Linked DNA regions of Diceros bicornis minor. The protein of the gene in region 1 purifies or fractionates together with the protein of each later gene. This does not show direct contact. Links are inferred from orthologs where the notes say so. Each region holds a gene or a part of one and is shown in the gene's direction. Other genes may lie near its edges.

Evidence for each region. Proteins that work in one complex are often made in the same cells at the same time.
Region 2: the proteins of RASSF8 (region 1) and PARD3 purify together in Homo sapiens (affinity purification with mass spectrometry; 4 studies listed by BioGRID and IntAct, counting the BioPlex papers as one, with this or other methods). This does not show direct contact. The link is inferred for Diceros bicornis minor from reciprocal best matches to the Homo sapiens genes RASSF8 and PARD3.
Region 3: the proteins of RASSF8 (region 1) and PPP1CC purify together in Homo sapiens (affinity purification with mass spectrometry; 3 studies listed by BioGRID and IntAct, counting the BioPlex papers as one, with this or other methods). This does not show direct contact. The link is inferred for Diceros bicornis minor from reciprocal best matches to the Homo sapiens genes RASSF8 and PPP1CC.

What each region holds. Positions count from the first base shown.
Region 1 is NC_080756.1:36,918,115-36,925,893, reverse strand, and holds the start of RASSF8 (ras association domain-containing protein 8), read left to right. Parts: upstream 1-4,779; 5' UTR 4,780-5,104; intron 5,105-7,779.
Region 2 is NC_080775.1:32,630,943-32,638,934, reverse strand, and holds the start of PARD3 (partitioning defective 3 homolog), read left to right. Parts: upstream 1-4,977; 5' UTR 4,978-5,350; coding exon 5,351-5,470; intron 5,471-7,992. UniProt on the Homo sapiens protein: Adapter protein involved in asymmetrical cell division and cell polarization processes. Seems to play a central role in the formation of epithelial tight junctions. Targets the phosphatase PTEN to cell junctions.
Region 3 is NC_080774.1:9,197,005-9,204,261, reverse strand, and holds the start of PPP1CC (serine/threonine-protein phosphatase PP1-gamma catalytic subunit), read left to right. Parts: upstream 1-4,242; 5' UTR 4,243-4,392; coding exon 4,393-4,447; intron 4,448-7,257. UniProt on the Homo sapiens protein: Protein phosphatase that associates with over 200 regulatory proteins to form highly specific holoenzymes which dephosphorylate hundreds of biological targets.

The sequences.
Region 1 (7,779 bases):
TCCCATACTTAATTTTAGCTGACTAAACCCATTCTTCTAGCCTACCATAAATAATCAAGACTTTTTAATTTTCATGGGGTTATCCTCTCAAAAAGCTTCCACCTAAATAAGGACCCAATCATATTTTAAATTCCATTTCTGAGTGTATTAGGCTGCATTTCTTTCAGTATAACCTGTTGCAGTTTCCATTTATAGTTTATGCTTTATTTTCTTTTCATACTGTACTTCAGTGTTTAACAAAACATACTGATGATCACTCTCCTGCCCCATCAAATTATTGGAGGGTCTTTTAAGGGGCTATGTTTTGGTAATTAAACATTTTATTTTTTTAAGAAGAAACTGTCATTAAGTTAAAAATTCCTACAGATCTGAGAACTGTTGGCTATTTCTAAAAAGCTCCATACATTGGTCAAATAAATCACAATATTTATAGATCTTTGCAGTGTTTCAGTATGTGTACAAGATTTTCCTTAGGAATGGGAAAAAATACCATATTTACTTGCTTACCACACACATATACTGAAAAGGAGATATTACTTTTTTTTCTTTTCCTTTCAAACTTATCAGTAACAGTGACTAAATGAAGGCTTCATAGGTTAGGCTGAAGAACTCTAAATGACTCCATTTGTACATATTTTAGCATATGACTTTAGGCTTCAAGGTAGCCTTGACGTCACAAGGCTGTTGCTGTGGCTCCAGCCATCACATCCATGTTCCAGGCAAGAATAGGACTCGAGTCAGCCCTGCCAGTACCCTATCACCAGACACATAAATAAGGAGTTTTCCTGGAAGCTCTATACAACACCTTCCACCCACACACCATTGCCCTATACTTAGTCACCTCTATCTGCAAAGAAAGTTGTGAAATAAAATTTTTCACTGGGCACAAAATCAGGTTTCTGTCACTAAGAAAGAAGGAGAGAAAGGGAATGGAATAGGCAACCAGCATTATCTGCCACATTTTCATTTTTAGCATGTTTCCTTACACAGCCTATGAGCTCATAGAAGGTTGAGATTATGTTATATTCATATTTGCAATCTCAGAACCTAGCACAACACCACTGTTTATTATGTTTTTTATTATGTTTATTAATTAAAGAAGAAAATGGAAATCTTAGCTAGTTACAGGTTAGAAGGAGGAAGATTGAAGACAACATAACAGGTGAACACACAGCATTGGTTTATTCCATTTATATTGTCATTCATTCATTTAATTGTTATTTCAGCTAGTATTAACTGAGCTCCCAGTCTGAGCCAGGCCCTGTGTCAGGCATGGGGGATACAGGGGTAACTAATCTCTGGCTGTAAGAAGGAGCAGGGGCGAGGCTGGGGGAGCACAGAGAGGGCTCCACAGGAAACAAGCACTTGTAGGGTAATGTGGCAAGGGAACTGAGACGTGGTCCTGACCCACCTTCTGAGAGGTTAGGAAGCTGTAAGTGGTCTAGTGAAACACAGACTGGGAAAGAAGTACGGTAAGAGGAGGAAAGACACGTGGGGCTAGATAATAAAGAACCCGAGATATGCAGAAGTCCATAATTTATTCCTGCCAGCACACAAACCTATTTGTTTTGACAAAATGTTTGTTTCTATGGCTACCTTGGCCTTCCTCATGAAGGGATTTCCCAACACTTTGCCCTTGATGGATCTGACCCACCGACAATTCCTTTCTGGGTCTAAGCTTCTTGGCTGGTCTAAACTGTAGTCACAACTGTGTTCCACAGAGCTTATCTGAGCATGGAGCAAATGTCTTCCCAGCATCCCATCTTACAGGGTGGTCTAGATACATATTTCCCAAACTTGGCAATATGACTCCACTGGACACGATAAAAAAGAGTAGTCAGAGATTTCCAGAGAAAGGGATTTATCCTCAAGAACTGCAGATGTGAACCTGATTTTCTTAGTGTGCTAACATCTTGGGCTTCAGTTACATAGGTCAACGAAGGGATATAGGTTTAGTTGAACAAGTCACCACTTCAGCAATCTTATAGTCAAATAAGTTATCCCAATGACGATTTGACTAGTGATGAAGACAGTCATCTTTTCCTGCCAATAATTCAGTTCAGTTCAGTTCATAAGATATATGGCTATAAACGGATCTACATCAATTCCTATTTTCTTTCCCTATTTTAGAGAAAGAGATGTCCACTTAACCACGAAGCAGAGGTCACAAAGAGAGAGAGAGAGAAAGATTTGAAGATGCTATGCTGCTGGCCTTGAAGACAGAGGAAGAGGCCACAAGCCAAGGAATGCAGGCCGCATCTAGAAACTGGAAAAAGAAAGGAAATGGATTTTCCCTTAGAATCTCCAGAGAGAACAGAGGTCACACCTTGATTTTAGGATTTCTGACCTCCAGAACTGTAAGATTACACATTCTTGTTGTTTTTGGCCACTAAATTTGTGGTAACTTGTTTACAGATAGCAATGGGAAACTAATAACACATAATAACATATCTCTAGGTGCTGTTCCCCCACAAACACCCCTGTTCATTCCCACTGCTCTCCACATAACTCTCTCTCCCTTGGGATTCTCCTCTTTTCTGAATCCACCCTCTCAGATTGTTTTCTTAAAAATCAAATCTCATTATGTCACAGGGTTTGAAGTGCATGAATATGCACTGCTTCTAGTTATGTTGCTTTCTGGGAATATAATTAGAATCTAGAAATAAGGGTTGTTTACAAACCCTATCAAGGGCATTTGGTGTGATCTCAGGAGGGCTTAACAGGGGTGTGATTATAGCTAAGAAAGCTTACAACAAATTGTACTATATGCTGAACAAAGACCGCATCAACCACATGGAGCTGAGGTAGGGAAGAGGTTTTCCTGGTTATCCAGGACCGAAAGAGGTAAATTCACTGACTTCAGCAGCCATCAGTAAGGCACACTCTAGTTTGAGGCGGGGATACCTCACCAGGTCCCTGGATCCTAGTAAGAGCTTCCCCTAAATAGTGGACATGCTTATTCAATCATGGTAAGTTTCATCCTGATTTAAATGCTGGTCACACGAAAGTTGGTTGTCATGAGTCAGTCAACTTATTCACCTCTGGATGCATGATAAAATCGGGTCAGGACCCTACTGGTGACCAATAGAAACCAGATTAAGATTCTTCTACTCGGTAAGATCCTGAATCCTGGTTTAACAGTAGCTACACTCCTGCAGGCTATTACTCACCCCTGTTTCAAAACCTCCACAAAAGAGGGATGACTATCACAGCAAAAAAAAAAAAGGAGGAAAGTTATAAGAAGAAAGGAGAGGTCAACAATAGCAAATGCCACAAAGGGCACCACAAGGTGGGCATTACATTTTTCCATTAGATTTGGCAATCAGGCGGTGACTGATGTTCAGTGGAGTGAAAGGTTGACAAGGGAACGAGAGCTTAGGAAATGTTAACCTGAAGGCTGTGGAACCTCTGAAAAGAGGAACCATGCCCTACAGAGCCATTTTTAGATAAAGTTCCCACAGGTTATGCATTTGAATCAGAGAACTCGTCTAGTCCCCAAATCCTCCGAATGTTGTCTAGCCAGAGTCCAGTCTTACCATCTCTCTCCTCAGTTCACCTGAGGTAGAGGAGCTAATGAGCTGTGCAATAACTAAAGGTCGAAAAACAAGAGGAAGAAACAAAAGGCCTACAAACCCAAGCTCAGAACGAACAAAACAAATCAAGCCCTGAGCAAGATGACCCGTAACAAGTGCTTTAAATTTAATATCCTTGTTTTGATGATTAAAAAACGAGTGTCTGGAGAATTAGAAGGGGCATTTTATAATTGATGCTTCCTTGCGTCACATCCATTAACCTCACCCCATCTCCCTCCAAATTAACAGCTAATGCTGACTTGCGGGCAAAAGACGGAATTTTGTCCAGTGGCTAGAGTAATCACATACCATTAAAAAAAAGGTGGGATAGTGAAAACAACCTACACATCTGCATTTCCAGAGGAAAGCAGTGGTTTCCTTCCCTATTTGCTCTATTGCAAGGTAGGTGAGAGGGGTGGGGGGGGGAGCGGTTTTCTGAATCTGAGCCCAGCTCTTTCTAAACTTGGTTACTCACGTCTGATTCATTCGCTGTGTTTTCGTCTCCTGTCTCTGTCATTGCCTGCTGCTGAGAAGGGGGTCGCTGAATCACTGCCACTCCAGATGAAAAGCAATTCAGACCCAGTCCTTGGGGGATGGAAGGGTGGAAGGGCTTTTTTTTTTTTTTTTTTTTTTTACGCGTCTGCAGAAAAGCCTCCTACTTTCCGGGGTGACCGGAGAGGGCAGTTTTACAAGTTTCAGCCCCGGGCTATGGGAGATTTTGCTCCTGGGAGAGTCAGTGAGGCCCTGGTCACCTCACTATTCGTGGCTTTCTGGGCCCCAGGCCTCGGTGGTCGGGGCGTGCGTGGCGGGCCGTGCTAGGGCGGCCGGGGCGAGCCCGGCCCGGTGGGCTCCGGCGGTCGCGCCGCGCTCCCCGCCGCTTTAAAAGCTCCCACAATGCCGCGCTGGCGTCCCAGTTCCGTTACACTGTCTCTCCGGGCGCCGGCGAACCGGCGAGGCGCGGGCGGGGGAGCCGGCAGCGGCGGCTGTAACCCGAGCGCCCGGCCGAGGGGGGCGCCCCCGCGCCGCTGCTCTCGCGCGCGCAGCCCGCCGCCCGGAGAGGGGGCGGAGCCGCCGGCTGCCCGGCCCGGCCCGGCCCCCAGCCCGGCCCCCAGCCCAGAAGCACCGGCCGCGGGAGCTCGCCGGCCGCCAGCTCGGCCGCCCGCGCTCGCCCGGCGCCCCGCTCCTCGCCGAGCCTCGCCCGCCTGCCCGCGGCAGCGGCGGCGGCGCTGGGGGCGGCTCCTGCCGGCGGCGCAGCGGCAGCCCGCGCGCTCGCAGCCCCGGCACCCCGGCCCGGGGCGTCCACGCTCACCTAGCGCCGGCCCGGAGGTGCGCGGAGAGGGCGCGCCGGGGAGCCGGGGCCTCCGGCCGGTGCGCCGCGCGCGGCCCGCGGAGCGCCGCGGAGGGAGGCGCGCGGGGCTGCGCGGCCGCGGACAGGCGCTGGGCGGCCGCCGGGCTCCGGGCGCCGCCGCGTCCCCAGCGCCCCGGCCAGCCCCGCCGGGCGGCCTGCGGGGGCGGCGCAGTTGCGAAACTGAGTGAGTATTAACTTTACTCCGCGGCCGCGATTTCTGGGCAGCGTCCGGGACCCCTCCCTCCTTCTCCTGGAGCCTCGGGGCTCCCCGCTTCTCGCCCCCTCACCCCTCTTGTGCACCTGGGGTTTCTTCGCCCTCTCCGTCCCCCACCCGGTTCCCGCCGCGGGCTCCCACTGCCTCCAGATCACCTTTTCCCGGTCGTGTTCCCCTAGTTGAGCCTTCTCCCCGCTGCACACACGCGCCTCGGACTGAAAAGTAACGAGCTTGTTCCCTGCTTCTCTGTTTCCTCCCAGTGTCCTTGGCAGGGGAGTTTAGAGGCCACTTTTGTTGGGCAGGGAAATGTATGTCTGGCTTCTTTAATATTTTTCTTTCCAGATGGAAATCGGATGCGCGCTGGCCGGGTGGCGGTTTGGTGAAAGCTTATTTTTTCCTCTGAAAAAAATGATTGGTGTATAGGTTTTTAAATTTTGTTTGAACGATTCACCATCCTCCGTCCCTGTTTCTCCTTACTGCCAACCCATCTGGGGAGGGGAGTCCAGAAGAGGGGACTTCCAGAGTAATTCCGTTTTGCAAACTAGAAACTTTCAGAGGGTAGAGGGCAGAAATCTTAGTAAGATGCAACCTGAAGGGACTTGAGCTTTGAACGTGGGTCCTTGTGCGGCACTGGGTCTTACAAGCCGAGTACCTGGATTCGTAATCGAGTGTTGCGTTGTTATTTTAGCATCAGAGAGCCGCATGGTGTTGCTAAACCACTACTTTTTCAGCATCAGATGGCATCTTAAGCAGTGCAAGCGTTGAATATAATTGCGGATCAGTATTGCCCATGATCTTTAGGGATTTGGAAGGGAAATAGATGCAAGCCACGTTTCGTAGCTGATTTAAACCCGTCAAGTTAACCCTGTCAATACATCAAAGCATTGCATTTTTAAAAAATTCCTCCAGCCAGGTGACAGCGAGGACGAACATTTGTGGATTTTCCAGTGTAATGTGGCTCAGCAATTCTTCCTTAGATCTGTTGTGTCCTCAGGAAGCACCTTCAAATATGTGTAGATCTCTGCTTTTCTGTCAGTTGGATTAACCACTCATTCTAGTAGGGGGCACCCGGTAGTTGGATTTTTTTTTCCAAGTCTTTCATTTTTTAGATTGCCAGGAGTTGGTGATCATGTTATGAAGGAACAGAAAAATGAGAAGCTTTCGTAATGGATTTTTTAGCATGCTTTCCTTTGCCTGGATGAGGCAGGAGTGAATGCCAGCTAGCCCTCTGCAGGGAGAGGTACCGGGTGGACACAAGACTCAGGAAGCAGGGCACAGCACCATCATTTTGGAGGATTTGTGTGAGTTTTTATCTTTTAGTGGGCATATTAATGGTCCTTTTAATTTCATTTATCTCCTTGGGGAGCTCTCCCAAAACTATAAAAATTACATGTGACTGTACCCCACTTTAAGAAGACTGAACATAATTTGATGATTATTCTATTGAAGAATTAGACCCAACAAAATATAATTTGTCACACACATGACGAAGCCTTTCGAAAATCTCCCACTTCCTCATTTTGTCTCCTTTTAAGAGTCTCAAGCTGGTACTTTCAATAATAGACACAGTTGGCAGTAATGCATTGAGTTCTTTGTAGATTCATTGATTGAGCCTAATTTCTGGGCTTCAGTAGTTGAGGAGGGCATCAGAGAGCCCAGGGAGGGAGCAAATCATGGAACTGTGCACATAGGAAAGGCATTTCAGTTTGCAGAAGTGTCAGCATGTTACAGGGAAAAGCAGTTAGAAAGAAGGGAATGTTTAAGTTGTTTTTAGGGTGCATGTTGACTGAATTTGGCATTTGGTTGAGATATTTTGGAATTGCAGATTTTAAATTCTACACAGTTGCGCTATCATTTCTTTTTGCGTAACATTTCATTTTTTTAAGGTTTCGATTTTTTAATGTGAATCTCAACGCTTGGCCTTTGTAGCCTTCTGTACTGGTGGCTTGCATTAATTTTTGACTTGAATGCCTGGGTCATTTTGAGAAATGATTAGTTTTTCAAAATTTCTTACTCATTAAGTGATCTATCTTACGTTGATGTATGTCATGACTTGAAAGTAAAAATATTATTTGCTGCTGGATATTGTTGCTCTTTTCATTATGGTTGATTCCTGGCATAATGGCTTTGCTCATTTATTGTAAAACATTAAGGTCCTAGATATTTTGCTAGTGTCCAAAACATTGCAAAACTCTGCAGGTAGAAGTGGAGTGGGAATGGGCGTGGAACAGGAAAACACTATGCATCATAAATCTGAGGATTTGGATTTAAAAAATAATGTATCACCTGTTTACTCTCCTTGGATGCTGGGTTGCTCCAACCCTAAATAGATTTCAAAATTCAAAGTGTAGAGATCATTTCCAAGAACTCTGTATGGTGGAAAGAATGCTTACCCCACAGCCAGCCAGCCAGCCAGCCAGACTTGGGTGGCAAGTGTGCCTTTTCACGTGGAACTGGATGAGCTTGACCAGGCTGCTTCAGCCTCTGTGCTCTGCAGTTTGCTTTCTGTGAAATGGGGATACTCCTACTAGAAGGGGTGCTGTGATAAGAACACCTAATACAGTGCCTGGCACATCTTAGCCCATAAATGGCAGCATCTCAGACTTCTCCAGAACTGAGCTCTTGATGACTCAACCTTTCAACTG
Region 2 (7,992 bases), on another chromosome or scaffold:
TATGACTGAATTTTAAAACTCCTGTAAATGTCTTCTTTATTCTTCATCATTAACTTGCTAAGGGTAAGAACTGGGTAATACAATACCATTCCTACACACGTGGGGTGTGTATTTATTTCAGGGTGTGCATGAATGCTGCTGGATAGAGTTGAAATTATAGTCCACGTGGTCACAACTGCCCATTTGCAGACAGGCACAAAGCCCAGGTGGATCCTAATTGATTCTCAGAACTCTCTGGGGTTTTTCAAAACCAATGGAATCAATCAACTGTAAAACAGAAGAAGAAGTAAAATAAGGGTCATAATTTTTTACCTGAAATATGCAGAATTTAAGAAAGTAAACACATTGGAAAGTGTTTGTGTAACATCTGACTCTTGGCTTGAGTGATTTTGCTTCTCTTTGGCACTGGGTTGCTTTATGCTCACCTCAGGCCAGAAGCAATCGGATCAAGCTGAACACTTTACAGACGTGAAGGTAGCCTGGTGTCTAACCATGCGACTTGATGGTTAGACATTAGGTGATTATATTAGTCAAAGTAGATTCATTATTTGTGATGAAATTTTATGAATTTGACTCAAGTCACCAAAGTGTCTGGCATCTAAAATTTACACAGCATTAGTTTTTCATCAATTATTAATATAAAGGGAATCCCTATATCTAGAGAAACGAGGTAGATTTAAATAAAGCTTCAAGGCTTTACCTAGTTAGTTGAATAGACATTAATTATTGGTTCTATGGATCACATTTTTGAAAAATTGCCTAAACCCTTATTAACTATTGAATATTGGAAGGAGTTGATGTAAATAAAGTGGTACCCATATACCCTGATGCTGCCTCTTTTATGAAGGCAGGCCTCACTCCCCGGTATTGCCACACACACTAGCTGGCACTTAATATTTAATGTCTTGAGTTACAGTTATTGGAGTAGCTGTCTTATTCTAACCTCTATATTGTCTCTTTCTTACTCCCTTTTATAATTCTGTAATATTTAGCCAGTGCTTTCCACATGGAAGGTCTTCTGGAACTGTATGTGGAATCAAATTAAAGTGAATTGAGTACATGAGCCTTGGTCCATCACTGACTAGTTGTATCAACAGTCCCATCATTTCTCTGAGCCTTGGGTTCCTCCTAGCCCTGTTCTCCATGCCCACCCCCCCCCACCCCCCCAGTGCCCCAGCATCATCATTCACTATCCTGTCCTGGACTTCCTTACCTCTCACCTACAATATGGTTACTGGACTCCCATATGGCAGCACGGACTAAGTGGTTTTTTTTTTAAATTTTTTAATTGATGTTTTAATGGTTTTTAACATTGCGAAATTTGGGGTTGCGCATTTTTGTTTGTCCATCACCATATATATGACTCCCTTCACCCTTTGTGCCCACCCCCACTGCCCCTGGTAACCACAGTACAGTTTTCTCTGTCCATGTGTTGGTTTATATTCCACATATGAGTGAGATCATACAGTGTTTGTCTTTCTCTCTGGCTTATTTCACTTAACATAATACGTTCCAGGCCCATCCATGTTGTTGCAAATGGGACGATTTTATCTTTTTTTGTGGCTGAGTAGTATTCCATTGTATATATATACCACATCTTCTTGATCCAATCGTCAGTCGAGGGACACTTACGTTGCTTCCACTTCTGGGCTATGGTGAATAATGCTGCAATGAACATAGGGGTGCATAAGCCTCTTTGGATTGTTGATTTCAGGTTCGTTGGATAGATTCCCAGTAATGGGATGGCTGGGTCATAGGGCATCTCTATTTTTAAGTCTTTGAGGAATCTCCATACCGTTTTCCATAGAGGCTGCACCAGTTTGCATTCCCACCAGCTGTGTACGAGGGTTCCTGTTTCTCCACATCCTCTCCAACACTTGTTGTTTTTTGTCTTGGTGATTATAGCCATTCTAACGGGCGTGAGGTGGTATCTTAGTGTTGTTTTGATTTGCATTTCCCTGATGATTAGTGATGTTGAACATCTTTTCATGTGCCTATTAGCCATCTGTATATCTTCTTTGGAGAACTGTCTGTTCATTTCCTCTGCCTATTTTTTGATCAGGTTGTTTGTTTTTTTGTTGTTCAGTTGTGTGAGTTCTTTATATATTATGGAGATCAACCCCTTGTCAGATGTATGTTTTGCAAATATTCTCTCCCAGCTGGTGGGTTGTCTGTTCATCTTGATTCTGGTTTCATTTGTCTTATAGAAGCTCTTTAATCTGATAAAGTCCCACTTGTTTATTTTTTCTTTAGTTTCCCTAGTCTGGGTAGGCATGTCATCCGAAAAGATTCCTTAATAACCAATGTCAAATAGTGTGTTGCCTATATTTTCTTCTATGAGTTTTATAGTTTCAGGTCTCACCTTCAGGTCTTTGATCCATTTTGAGTTAATTTTTGTGAACGGCGATAGCAGATGGTCCACTTTCATTCTTTTGCATGTGGCTGTCCAGTTTTCCCAACACCATTTATTGAAGAGACTTTCCTTTCTCCATTGTATGTTCTTAGCACCTTTGTCGAAAATTAGCTGTCCGTATATGTGTGGTTTTATTTCTGGGCTTTCAATTCTATTCCACAGATCTGTGTGTCTGTTTCTGTATCAGTACCATGCTGTTTTGATTACTATTGCTTTGTAGTATGTTTTGAAGTCAGGGATTGTGATGCCTCCTGCTTTGTTCTTTTTTCTTAGGATTTCTTTAGCTATTCGGGGTCTTTTGTTGCCCCATATAAATTTTAGTATTCTTTTTTCTATTTCTGTGAAGAATGTCATTGGGATTCTGATTGGGATTGCATTGAATCTGTAGATTGCTTTAGGTAATATAGACATTTTAACTATGTTTATTCTTCCAATCCACGTGCATGGGATATCTTTTCATTTCTTTATGTCATCATGGATTTCTTTCAATAATGTCTTATAGTTCTCATTGTATAGGTCCTTCACCTCCTTGGTAAGATTTATTCCTAGGTATTTTATTCTTTTTGATGCAATTGTAAATGGTATTATCTTTTTGAGCAGACTAAGTGTTTTAATACATTATTTTATTTAATCCTCATAATTTATGAGATGGAGAGCATCAGGCCCGCTTTTCAGCTGATCAAGCTGAGGCTGGAGAGAGACTGAGTGCCACGTCTAAGGCACGAGTAAATGGTAGGATTGGGATCTGAACTCAGACCTGTGTGACGTCTGACGTACTCCGGCTGTTCCTGAACTTGCCTTTCAATCAGAATTATTTTGAGAAAGGCTCACTCTAAACCAGTATACCCCTCGCTCCCCAATGCATCAAAACAAAAACAACATCTGTAATTATCAGTAATTTTTGTGGATCCAAGTATTAATACAAGAGTGAAGAAGACCTCAGCAAGAGTTGTTGTCATAGCTGTCACAGAGTTTATTGGGTGGAAGTGTTGAACGTTGTGGTCAAATAGAAGAAGAGCATGGTGAGCCTTTCCCATGAAGGTGTGGAAAGAAACCTGGAGTCTACTTCTGCGTCTGCCTCAAGCTTTCTCCTTGGCCTTGGGCAAGTGGCTTCAACACTGGGTCAGTATCCGGGTAACATGGGAATGCTGACACACTGCCTATTTACTGCACTGGTTTGCTAGGACAGGTGATCCAGTGTGTTGGTCAAGGGCTGTAGATGAAAGGAAGTACAATGTTTTATAAGACAAATTGCACTATATCTGGGGCAGTGTGGGGCAGCGGCAAGTGCAGAGATTCTGGAAAGCAGACGAATCTTATTGTCCTGCCTCCTTATTTCAAAATGGGAAGTGGAGTGGGATGGACGAATGGTCACCAGCTCTTCCTGCTCTAAACGCTGACGTTCTACTTGAGCTCCCGGGAGCTAACTGCTTTCAGATTCTAGAAACAACTAGCAAAAGTGAATTTACTGTCGTTTGGGACAGAGGTGGGCCAACGAATCTTTGCCATTCCATAAACACAATAACACACAGTTATTAAGGAATCACAGCTCATAGCTAAGACAGAGATGAGCTTCAGTTACTTTTCTTCACTTGGTGCACGGTCTTGTAAAACTTGTCTCACGTCCTGCATGCACTTAACTCATTATAGAGCTGCTTTCTTGTGCCGGGTTGAAGTGCCTCCGCGAAGCGCCGGCGTGTCGTGGGGATCCCCTTGCTTTCCCCCAAGGCATTCTGAGTATATTGTTCACAAGTTTGCGTTAGGATTGCTTATGTTGCAGAATTTTTAAGAAATGAAATTATCTGAATTGCTGATGTTTAAGTTCTACGTATTAAAGCGGGTGGGTCACCACGGGGTTAGAGGAAACTTCAAGGTAAACAGTGGCCTCAGGAGAAAGACTGGGTCGAGTCAAAGCTTCCCCGACGTCTCCCCAGAGCAGATGATTAATTTTTGCTTTGACCATAACAACCTCTGCCCAGCCTTGCAGCCTAGCGAGCGAGCCAGTGCAAAACCCTGCCAAGCTGCGGGTCGGGGGGAGGCGTCCGCGGCGCGTGGGCCCCAGCGGGAGAAACCTCGGCGGGCACACCCCGGCCCGACCCGTCCCATCCTCCTGGGGGGCCGTGGAGACGGCTCCTCCCCAAACGTCTCGGCGCGTTCAGTCTGCCGCGCCGAGAGTAAACCGCTTGCTCTAGAAGCGATTTCACCCGAACCCCTCCAGCCGGAGGAGGGGGATTAAAAGTGACAAAGAAAGAGGGGGGGCTCCGGAGAGAGCTCTGGGGGCATGGAGCGGGCGTCCCCGAGGAGGGGCGAGCGCAGCCCTGCAGCGCGCGGGGGCGCGTGAGGGGGGCTGGAGGGGGACGCGGTGCCGAGGCTCGGGGGGCGGCGGGGCGAGGGGCGGCGCCCGCGGCAGGGCCGGCCCAGGCAGCAGGCTGCCCGCGGAGGCGGGCCGTGCGGCGAGGGGTCCGCGCCCCGGGGAGGGAGGCGGCGGGGCCGGGGTGCGCCGCCGTGCGCTCCGCCCCGCGCGGGGAGCGGGCCGCGCCTCCCCCTGCCGCATGTGCGCGGTGTTGTGTGCCCGGCCTGCTCCTCCTCCTCCCTCCCCTCGCCGCCGTCCCCTCCCCCAGCGGCCCCGAGCGAGCGCGAGCGCCACACAGCCCCGGGCCGCCGCCGCCGAGCGCGCCGAGACGCCGAACAGGTGGCCGGAGGCTGCGGGCGCCGCGGCGGGGAGAGGCGAGGCGAGCCCCGGGCGAGGCGAGGGCGGCCGGGCCGGGCATGCGAGCCGAGCCGTCCCCCGGCGCCGCCGCCTGCCCGCGCCCCTAGCCACCCGCGCGCCCGTGCAGCGGCCCCGCCGCGCCCAGCGTCCAGCGCCCCGCGCCCCGGCCCGGGGCCGCTCCGGCCGCGCTCAGCGAGGGGCGCGGGCCGGCCCGCGGCGGCGGCGGCATGAAAGTGACGGTGTGCTTCGGCCGGACCCGGGTGGTCGTGCCGTGCGGGGACGGCCACATGAAAGTTTTCAGCCTCATCCAGCAGGCGGTGACCCGCTACCGGAAGGCCATCGCCAAGGTGAGGGGCCGGGGGCGCGGGGGTGGGGGCGGGAGAGAGGGGGGTGGAGGGGGAGGAGGAGAGGAGGGAAGGCGCCGGGATCAATATGGCGCTTCCTGGAACGGGGAGGAGGGAGCCGGAGGGGAGGCGGGGAAAGGGAAAGTGCGGCGGCCCGGCCGGCCTCGCGGGCGGCCCCCGCCCCGGGCTGCGGGCGGTAAAGTTCTCCGCGCGGGCCGGGCCGGCGGGCGAGCGCGGGCGCAGCCCCCGGTGACGGCGCCGGCCCCCGCGGCGCCCTCCGGGCCGATCGCCGCCGCCTCTCCCTCGGGGCCGGGGACGCGGGGGCCGGCGCCGGCCACAGGCGCCCCCGGAGCCGCCCGGGGAGCAGAGCCGAGCCCCGCGCGCCGGGCGCGGGCGCAGCCTGGCCGGACGCCTCTCCCCGGGCTGCCCGCTGCCGGCAGTTGAAATCCAGCCCCAGGCCTCGCCCCGCTCCCAGGCCCCGCGGGCCAAGGCTGGGAGAGGGAACTTTTTTGGTGGAGAAGAGTTTAATTATTGCACACACGATGGAGAGCGGCTGCGTTTCTGCTCCTTGGTCTCCCTGCGTCCGGGCGGGGAGAGAGGCGAAGCGGGAGCCCTTTCTTGCCTGCCGGCCGCGGGCGGGGGCGGCCCTGCGCAGCGTGGGGGTGCTGGTGGGCGACAGTCAGCGGCCTGCGGTCGGGAAGGCGGCTCCGAGGGGGACCCCACTTCCCCTGGCTCGCGAGCCTCGGTTGCGCGCAGAATCGCGGTGATTAGGAGGCTCCGGTGCAGAGCTGCTTTACAAAGCACAGTCCTGCATTCACTCGCTGCATTAAAAGTTGTCCTGCAGGGACCTTGGCGTTTACCTATCTGGGACTAGTTCCATATGGTGTCGAGGCCGCCGAGCCAGGGCCTGATCTCGGAGTTGAGTCGATTTCTCTTTTTCTCCGTGGAGTGATAACATTGTATCCACTTAACTGCATTCCTCTACAATGTGTCAGAAGTGAAAAGGCATTTTGTTAAATTGTTTTCTCGGCTGTGTCTGTGTTTGACAACAGCCCACGCCTCCGAAGTTTCTCTCAAGCACCTTGAGGATATTTCCTTTGCCGTAGAGTAATGTTTGGTGGAAAGCACATTAACTTGTTAAATTTCCTGTTTGTTCCCGAGAGTGGAGTGACCTGGCCCTGTGGGCTTTGGGGCAGTGGGTGAGGGGGACCCGGGCTTTGTCAGCCTAACTGCGTTTGTACATGGTGCTCAAGTGGCGTCCTCCAATTCTCTCTGAAATTAAGAAGAAAAACTTTTTTACCCTGTTTTCTTTTTAGTATATATTAGAAAAAATAGCATAAATTTGGCCTTTTAAAGATAATGATGGGGACGTTAAGGGACCTGACAAAATGATGGAAGATGTTGACTTTAACAGCTCTAAAATGTTCCTTACAGTTGGTTGAACTCGTATTGAAAAGCAAATAAAATGTGTGGAAATTGGGCACCTGTTTATCTTGCAACACTGACAAGGGGAGGAAAAACCCCTCTAAACCCCTTAGCATTTTAAAGGATTGTTTATGAATGACAGTTTATGATCTAAGTGTAATCTTATGTTTATGATCTAAGTATAATTAGTAATCAGGTTGCACATGTACTCTGGAAACCAACAAAATAAGTTGTGAAAGGAAAGAGAAATACCATAATATATACTCTGCAGTGTGCCTAGGTTACTGAATAGGGAGAGGTGATGGACATTTTCTTTCATTTTACTAGTTTTATCCGCTTAAAATTAGTCATATGTCATTAGGCACACAATGGGCATTGGTTAGATAGCCTGTTTGGGAGACACAAATGTGGTTGTTTGATTGATTGAGTCATTCATTCATTCTACAGAAATTCTTAAGCATTTACTATGTCCAAAGCTTTGTTTTGGGTGCTGGGCATCTGCGGGACCCACTGGCTGCTTTGTGGAAATTGGGCTGTGAGAGTCTAGGACAGAAGGTTTCATGGTCCTCCAGTGAAGGAGGCTGGAGGTGTGGACTGGCGTGTTGTGGTGCAGTGAGAAGAGGATGCTTCTGGGATGTGGGGTAGATGGAGTTGAGAGTCTTCAGTGATAGATCTGGACCTTGTTTTTTAAATGTTAGTGGTGGTTGTTTCATAGTGACCTGGGAGCACAGTAAAGGGAGTACAGTTTTCTTAAGCGAGTCTGAGAAGGCACCTCAAAGAGAAGGGGCATAGGAGCTGAGTTTTGAAGGGTAAGTATGAGATTACCAGGGAGAAGGAAGGAAGGAATGGTGATTCTCAGAGGGTGATGGTAGCATTGGAGGTGGATATAAATGAGAGGGAGAAGTCAGAGATGATTCATGGGGTTCCCAAATTAATTAAATGCTTTTTAAGTTCAGCTCACAGTTCAGTGGGTGAATTTTAAGACAGGTGTTGTAGTATACAAAGTCCAATCATTGGATCACAAGACTATTGACTCTCAAATGATGCAAGAGCCTGAGTATCTTCTAGGTCCATTTGTATTTTTTCCTCTTAAATTGTTA
Region 3 (7,257 bases), on another chromosome or scaffold:
CCAGCTACATGCTCACGATAGCCTGAGATGGGTGATATTGTCCCCAGTCTGTAGGTGAGGAAACTGAGGCTCAGAGCCGTGATGCCACATTTGCCATCAGCCCCTCCCAACCTCACAGCTTCCACTCCTGCTCACCTATAGTCCCTTCTCCTCACAGACAGCAAAGGGCTCTTTCAAAGAGGAAATCAGATCTTATTTAGGAGAAGACGCTCTGTGGGTAATGATGTTATGTGATATTCTACGATCCAAAACTTCTTTATGATTTAAGAGTCTTGAAAAATTAAGAGCAATGCCACAGTGGTGTAAGATGTTACCATCAAGGGGAAACTGAGGGAAAGGTATATGGGAACTCTTTGTACTCTCTGTGCAACTTCTCCATAAATCTAAAATTATTTCAAAATAAAAAGCTTATTTAAAAAACTAATTAGATCATGTTACTCCTCTGCCTAAACCCTATAGTAATTTCCCATTAGGCTTAGAATATACTCTGAATGTCTTCCCGTGGCCACCAAGTGGTCTGGCCTTTGCCCACTTCTTCAACTTCCCCTCCTAACACCCTCCCTCTCACACAGCACTCCAGCCACTCTGGCCTTCTCTCCATTCCTCCAACTCTGGAAGATTATTCCTACCTCAGGGCCTTTGCACTTGCTGTTCCCTCTTTTGGGAATACTCTTCTGCTACGTAGTTCTTCCCAGGACTTTGCCTTTTCTCATCCTTCAGATCTTGACTCAAATGTCAAATCCTCAGAGTCCCTCTTGTCTGTGTTCACATGACCCCTTCTGATTCTCTCATAAAACTCACCACTCTCTGACATTATCTTCTTTAATTGGTTTCTCTGTTCCTATCTGTCTCCTCCACTAGACCAAGAGTTCCATGAGGGCAGGGACTATGCTGGTTTGCTCACTGCTGTGTCCCCAGCTTCTCATACAGAGTAAGGCCTCAATGAACATTTGCCAAGAGAGTACCAGCGTCTGCTGGTAATACCACAGGACGTTGAAATAAAGCTGTGGACTTTGTCAAAGGGCTTTCATCCACATTTTTTCCCATGGTTCCCTACTTTGTACAAAACCTCCAGAATACCCAGGTAGGTCCAGATTTGCTGACAAACCTTATCAACACCATTTCTTTGAATCATTTAACAATAATCCTAATGTTCATTAAATTTGGAAAAGGGAGGAGGAAGAGTTCACCCCCAACCTTCTAGAACAGAGCCCAGATATGCTTTGTTGGCCTCACACAGTATTTTAGAAGAATTTTGAGTTCATGACGAACTTTTTAAAATGGAAACATTTCACATAAAAATCCGTATGTTCAAGTTCTCCTGACAACTCAGAGGATCTGGCCACACTGGGCCCCAGTTTCCCACACGGCCCCAGTGGACTGAAAATGGGAAGTGGCCACTCCTTAGATGAGACTTGCGCTCTCCAGTTCACCACAGTACCTATCCACCTAGCTTAATTTTTTCATGCTATCCGCCTGGTCCCTTTAGTCACTGGGATTCCCCTCAAAGCCTAAAGTATCCTTAGAAATACTATTGTTTCACAAATATTTTAGCCACAGCCTCCATCTTCAAATTGTACATGGAAGGTCAATGTCTAAAACAGATAGTAGCAATAATAGTTAATATTGATGGAGTGCTTTCTGTGTGCCATGCTTCTGTTCGGTTGACTTGAGGGGTTGGGGACCAGAACCCCATCGGCTCCCCAGCATCTTCAGCGGCTCCCTAAGAAAGCTCTGTGGATCCAAGGAAGACAGTTCGAAAAGTACATTTTAATCCATTCTCCTCCTTTTACAGATAGGCAAACTGAGGCCTAGAAAGGGGAAAGGACATTCCACCGGGTAGACAGTAGCCTTTCTGGCAAATGCTTGTCTGCTGGTCCTTAGGGAGGCCACTAGTGTCAATAATGGCAGGAAAAGGCCAACAGGGGATCAGTTCTTTCCTCCGAGTTGTGTGCTGGTGCCTGGGAGCTGATCAGGACTACCCTCTGGGCTCACACCTCTCTCAGGCCCAGAGCCAGCTAATTCACTTAGGCACGTGCCAGCAAAACTGGACTCTGGAGTGGAGTAGCCCAGGGGAGAATGGTGTGTGAACAGAGGCCCTCCCCATGTCCCAGTCCTGTCTGAATTCCTCCGCCAGCCCTGATGGTGTCAACAGATGGTAACATACCTGCGATTTTGTATGGAAAATTACAGTGCTCTTCCTGTGGGTAGAGACACGCGGAGATCGTTCCACTGGGTTCCACATTTGTTCTGTGTCTAGTGTGTGCCAGGGTTGTGCTAGGTGCTAGGGATTCACAACCGTGATGTATTACATATGAACACAGGCTTTTGTTTCTGGCTGTCCTGAGTTCCAGCCCTGGCTCCGTAACTCACTAGCTGTGTGACCTTCAGCAAACAACCCAGCCTCTCTGCCTCTCACTTTCTTCATCTGTAAAATGGGTGTGATAGGAATAGGACATAGTTCCTAGGATTGTCTTGGGATAATTTTTGTCACACACTAAGACAATGAGTGCGGTGTTTTTTTTTTCCACCGCACTTATCAGAAGCTGATATTTTTATTTGCGTCTTTGTTTATTGTCTGTCTGGCTTACTAGAGAACTCTCCATGAGAGAAGGGCCTTGTCTATCTTGCTCACCCTTGCTTCTCCGCCTAGAACAATGCCTGGCACAGAGTAGGGGCTCCATAAATATTTGTCTGCTGAATGAATCTCTGTCTTTCATATTGCTGCTCTAACTGACTTTGCCATGATGCGGCCTGCTCGGGAGGAGCCCAAAGTCTCCCTGACTCCGGCAGAGCCACCCCGACCTTGACAGCCAGCCGTTCACAACAGCCCTGGGCATCGGCTCCGGATCAACTGGGCTCCGTGCCCAGGGCTGACAAGCGACACTTGTGTTTCTTCTGGTGGACAGAGCTGCAGCACGGGAGAGCGAGGTGGCGACCGGGGACAGTGGAGTGAGCCGCTCCGCCGCGCAAGGGGAGCCCCGGACCTCAACGCCCCGCACCCGCAGCAAGGAGCCCGCACCCGGCCCAGGCCGCCCCCGAGGATGGCTGCCCCGGTGGCGCAATCACCTCGATGGCATTCAGGGATAGGAATTCGTGCATCCTGTGCACCTTGAGAAACAAAACTAATTTCTCTGGGAAGGGAAAGGGCTTTGCAAACTGTAAAGCGCTGCAGGAAAAAAACCACATAAATGAAAAGGTCAGGAAGAGAGCAGATGTGTTTGCTGAGTGCAGGCTGCACTTCCAAACCCAGCTGAAGGCGACGCGCAGCCCCGGAGGTGGCACACTGGGGGACCTCCCGGAGAGGGATGCACTTGGAGGGCCAGGGTTTCCCCGCGTGTCTGCAGAAGCCAGGACCCGCCCGCGCTGTCTGCTCCTGCAAACTCGCTCCGCTCTCGCGGCCTCGAGCTGCGGCGCGCGCAATCTGCAAATTCTGCCTTTCTCTGCTGCACACGCTCGTTCACCTTTGTTCTGGCTAGAATCAGGGTAACTGTTCCGACGATTATATAACCTCCCGAGTTCAAGAGAGATAACCCCAAGATAAGGATGATGAAATTATTTTTTGAGGGTGAATTTAAAAAAATGTTTCTCCAAATGTAAAAGTTGCAGAAGCGCACAAAAGAATACATACAGATACCCATATTCCCACCACTCAGAATAAATGTTCACATTTTGATTTATCTGGGACAGGTCTTTTTTTTTTTAGTAGTAACCAAATAAACTTTTCCCTTCCCGCAAGTCCCGGCAAATCTGAATTCAAAATAAATCAACCCACTGCCCTCTATTCTCCCACTCCATCTTCACCCCAGATGTATCTTAAAGGGTGAACTCCAGGACCCCCGAATTCCCTCAGTGCGCTTCCAGACGGCCAGGTCTGCAAACATCTGGCCCCAACGAGCAGCGTCCGGCGAAGGCCGCCACCCTCGGAACGCACAGCGGCGTTTTCTCCCCGGTCCCCAACTCCCGCGTGCAACTTTGCTACTCACGCTCCCGCCAGGGGGCCTATTTGCTCGGCCCGTTTGGCGGAAGGATCCCGCGCGCGGTCGCGGTTACGCTCAACCGTCTCCTCCCCCTCCCCGCGCCCTGGCCCCGCCCCCTCCCGCGCGCCCTATGGCCCATAAAGAAGTCCCGGCCGGGCCGCTGCACTCCCCCGCGCGCATCCGTGCGCCGCCCGAGGCTGGCTCAGGAGTCGGCGGCCATCTTGTTCTTCTCGTGGTTCCAGTGGGGAGAGAAGGAGGAAGCAGGGAGCGGGGCGGTTGGGGGGGGACCCGCCGCGGCTGCTGCCACCGCCGCCACCACCGCCTCTGTGCTCGTGGCGTGGGAAGGGAGGTGTGAGTCCCGGGCGCGAGCCGGCGGCGGCGCCGCTGCGGGAGGGTCTGCGGCGGGAAGGCGATGGCGGATATAGATAAGCTCAACATCGACAGCATCATCCAACGGCTGCTGGAAGGTGACGGCGGCGGCGGGCGGCCCGGGGCTCGCGGGGAGGGGAGTTGGGGGCCGGTGGGGCTTGCGGCGCCGAGGAGGCTGAGCACGGCGAGTTGGGCTGCGGCCGGAGGGAGGCGGCGGGTCGCGCTCGGCCGGCCGGGGACCCTCGGACCCCGCTCATTCATTGCCCGGGTGCAGCCTCCCTGCTGGCCGGGAATTGGGCAACTCCGCTGCCCACTCGCTCGCTTCCGGGCCGTACCCCCTGCGCCCCGCGGCCCGGGCCGGTCCAGCCCCCGGACGGAGCGTCCCGCACTTTGTGGTCCTCGTCCTCTGCGAGAGCGGTCGGGGGGGGGGGGGGAGCTTCGTCCCCATCTCGCTCGGTTTTATTTTTTGTGGGGCTGGGGTCGGGGGGCCCACTTTGGTACTTGGTGACGAACGCTCCTGTCTCAAGGGGATGTTGGAACCCACCTGCCCCTGCCCTTCCAGATACTCTTTCCGAGTTGCCCCTGTCTTGAGATCTCCGCGCTCTTTTCTGAACGTGAAACCGGCGAAGATGACAGTTTCGTTCTCGTCTTTGCAACGTGCCAGGCTCTGTGTTAGCGCTTTGCGTTCATCGCATCGTTAAGAAGATAATAATAGCGCTTCTAAAGCGCCGTATGTCAGGCATTTTTTGAGCACTTTACACAGATTTCACTTAGTTCTGTCTGCAACCTTGCGAGGTTATTTTTTCCTGTTTTTCAGAGGAAACTAAGACGCAGGTGAAGTCACTTGTCCAAGGTCACACAGTTAGTGACAGTCAGGGTTCAGATCCAGGCAGCCAGCAGCTAGAACTCCTTCATCTCACCCTGTGTGTGAAGGAAGGAGATCTCCAGTGGTTAGGCAGAGGTCAAGTTAGAGCTTTCGTTCTGGCTGATTTAAGACTCGTGCGGTGCCTCGTAGTGATGCGGGGGACGGATGAAGTTCGGATTATGGAGAGGGGCGCTGAACCTAACTGCCCCCGGTTCCCGAGCCGCTCTGCTGATGCGAACGTCTTATTCGGAACTCGGGAAGAATTCAGATCCCTTTCTTGGTTTGGGCACTGAATAATGTAGATTTGACTGAATATTCACTGCCTTTTGCCTTTCTACTGTCCTAAATATTGTCGGAACAGAAATGCTGTGAGACGGAGTCGAGAGCGTTCACAGTTGGACAGCTGTGTCCTTAGAATTTGCAGATCTTTTGAAATAAGTTATTAAAATGAAACTCCTGAAAATATCTTTTCTTTATCTGTACAGGTTTTTTTCCTTTTATATTTTCTTGAAAGAAAAGAAGAACCCACTGAATGTACCCCTGAAATGCTCTTGAAATGTTGCTGCCATTTGTGGGTGAAAACCTTGTCATTCGTTCAGGAGCTGGCATTTATTATAAGAACCACACTTTTCACACTAGTTAATACAATTCTTTGATTTAGATGAGGCAGAAGTGGGTCTGAAACTGATTAAAACTATTTGCAATAAGAAAAGAACTTTTTATTAAATATTTTTATTTTAAACTTTTTAATTAGCTTCTGTGTCTCTGTGCAGGGATATGTATTGCTAGATTAGGGTAGGCTTTATTTCACTGAGAAACAGGAAAAATTGGATTCTGCATGGATTAGAAACATTACAGTTTTAAGATTAAAGTCTTGTTAAGTTTTGAGTTGCCCATAACTGTATTCGTGTAACAAATTTGGTTAATTTTGATCTTATTTTTTTCAATTGTGCTAAGGAATTTCCCTTGATAAACTTGGATCATATAAAAAATGAGATCTGTCATTGTTTCTTAATAGTTTCTCTCTATACGTGTTATGTTGCACTTGAAAAGCAGGTTTTTTTATATTTCATTTTTCATTGAAATTAATATAATAAAGCTGTGCATTTTCATGCCTTGGGAAAGGCTAGGTACACAATATACTTAAACTCCTTTTTTTCTCATCAGTGTTAAATTGGCAGAGAAATGGTTGAAGATGATCCATTGAGGATGTGTATATATCCAAGTTAGAAGATGTTGATCATAAATTCATGATTTTTGTAATGCCCCAAAAACCTTTTTCCCTAAAAATTTTTATTAAGATTTAAGTATATCTGAAAATGGAGAGAATGTGAGTTTTGTGACCTTGTTAGACTTTTTTACGTGTTCAAAATTGCCTCGTCTTCAAGTGGAGGACCGACCGTACAAGCTAGTTGAGAAGCAGCTCAGTAAGAGTACTAAAAAGCAACTCAAAGGCTTATTTAAGAAAGGTTTAGATTTTAGTCACTACAGCTTTGCGATTCTTTTCTGCTCTAAACTTTTAGTTTTTCCTCAACTAAAGGCGAGGCAACCCCTCCGCAACCCACCTTGGGAGCTTTTAACCAAGCTCTGCCTTGCTGAGGAGAAAACCCTAAGGTTGTTACTCCTTCATATAATTAATGTTCAGTTATTTCAGTAACTACACAGTAAAACTTGGGCGATTTAGAGAGAAAGTAAGCCAGCTGTTGATTTGGTCTGATATTCCTACACTGTTGGAGAAGAGTGAGATTTGGGGCAGTTTTACTTTGTAAGTGACCTTGTTCGGAGAGCACCGATGGCCGGCACTTTTCTTGCAAAGCAGGCGGTTGTAACTTACTTCACGTCCTGATTTGCAAGATGCCTCTTTGCTCTGAAGGTGACCATTGTCAGACTGCAAGACCATGCCAGGCTCTGCATAATCCTTGACTTGCCGGCCCTCGAACGTGTTTACTGATTTAATCCTCTGATCTGTAAGAGTTCATCTGAAGATAGTGAGTGTTGAAATGTTCTGAAAGTCTAAAATTGTTCGGGTAACCCATGTGCTTT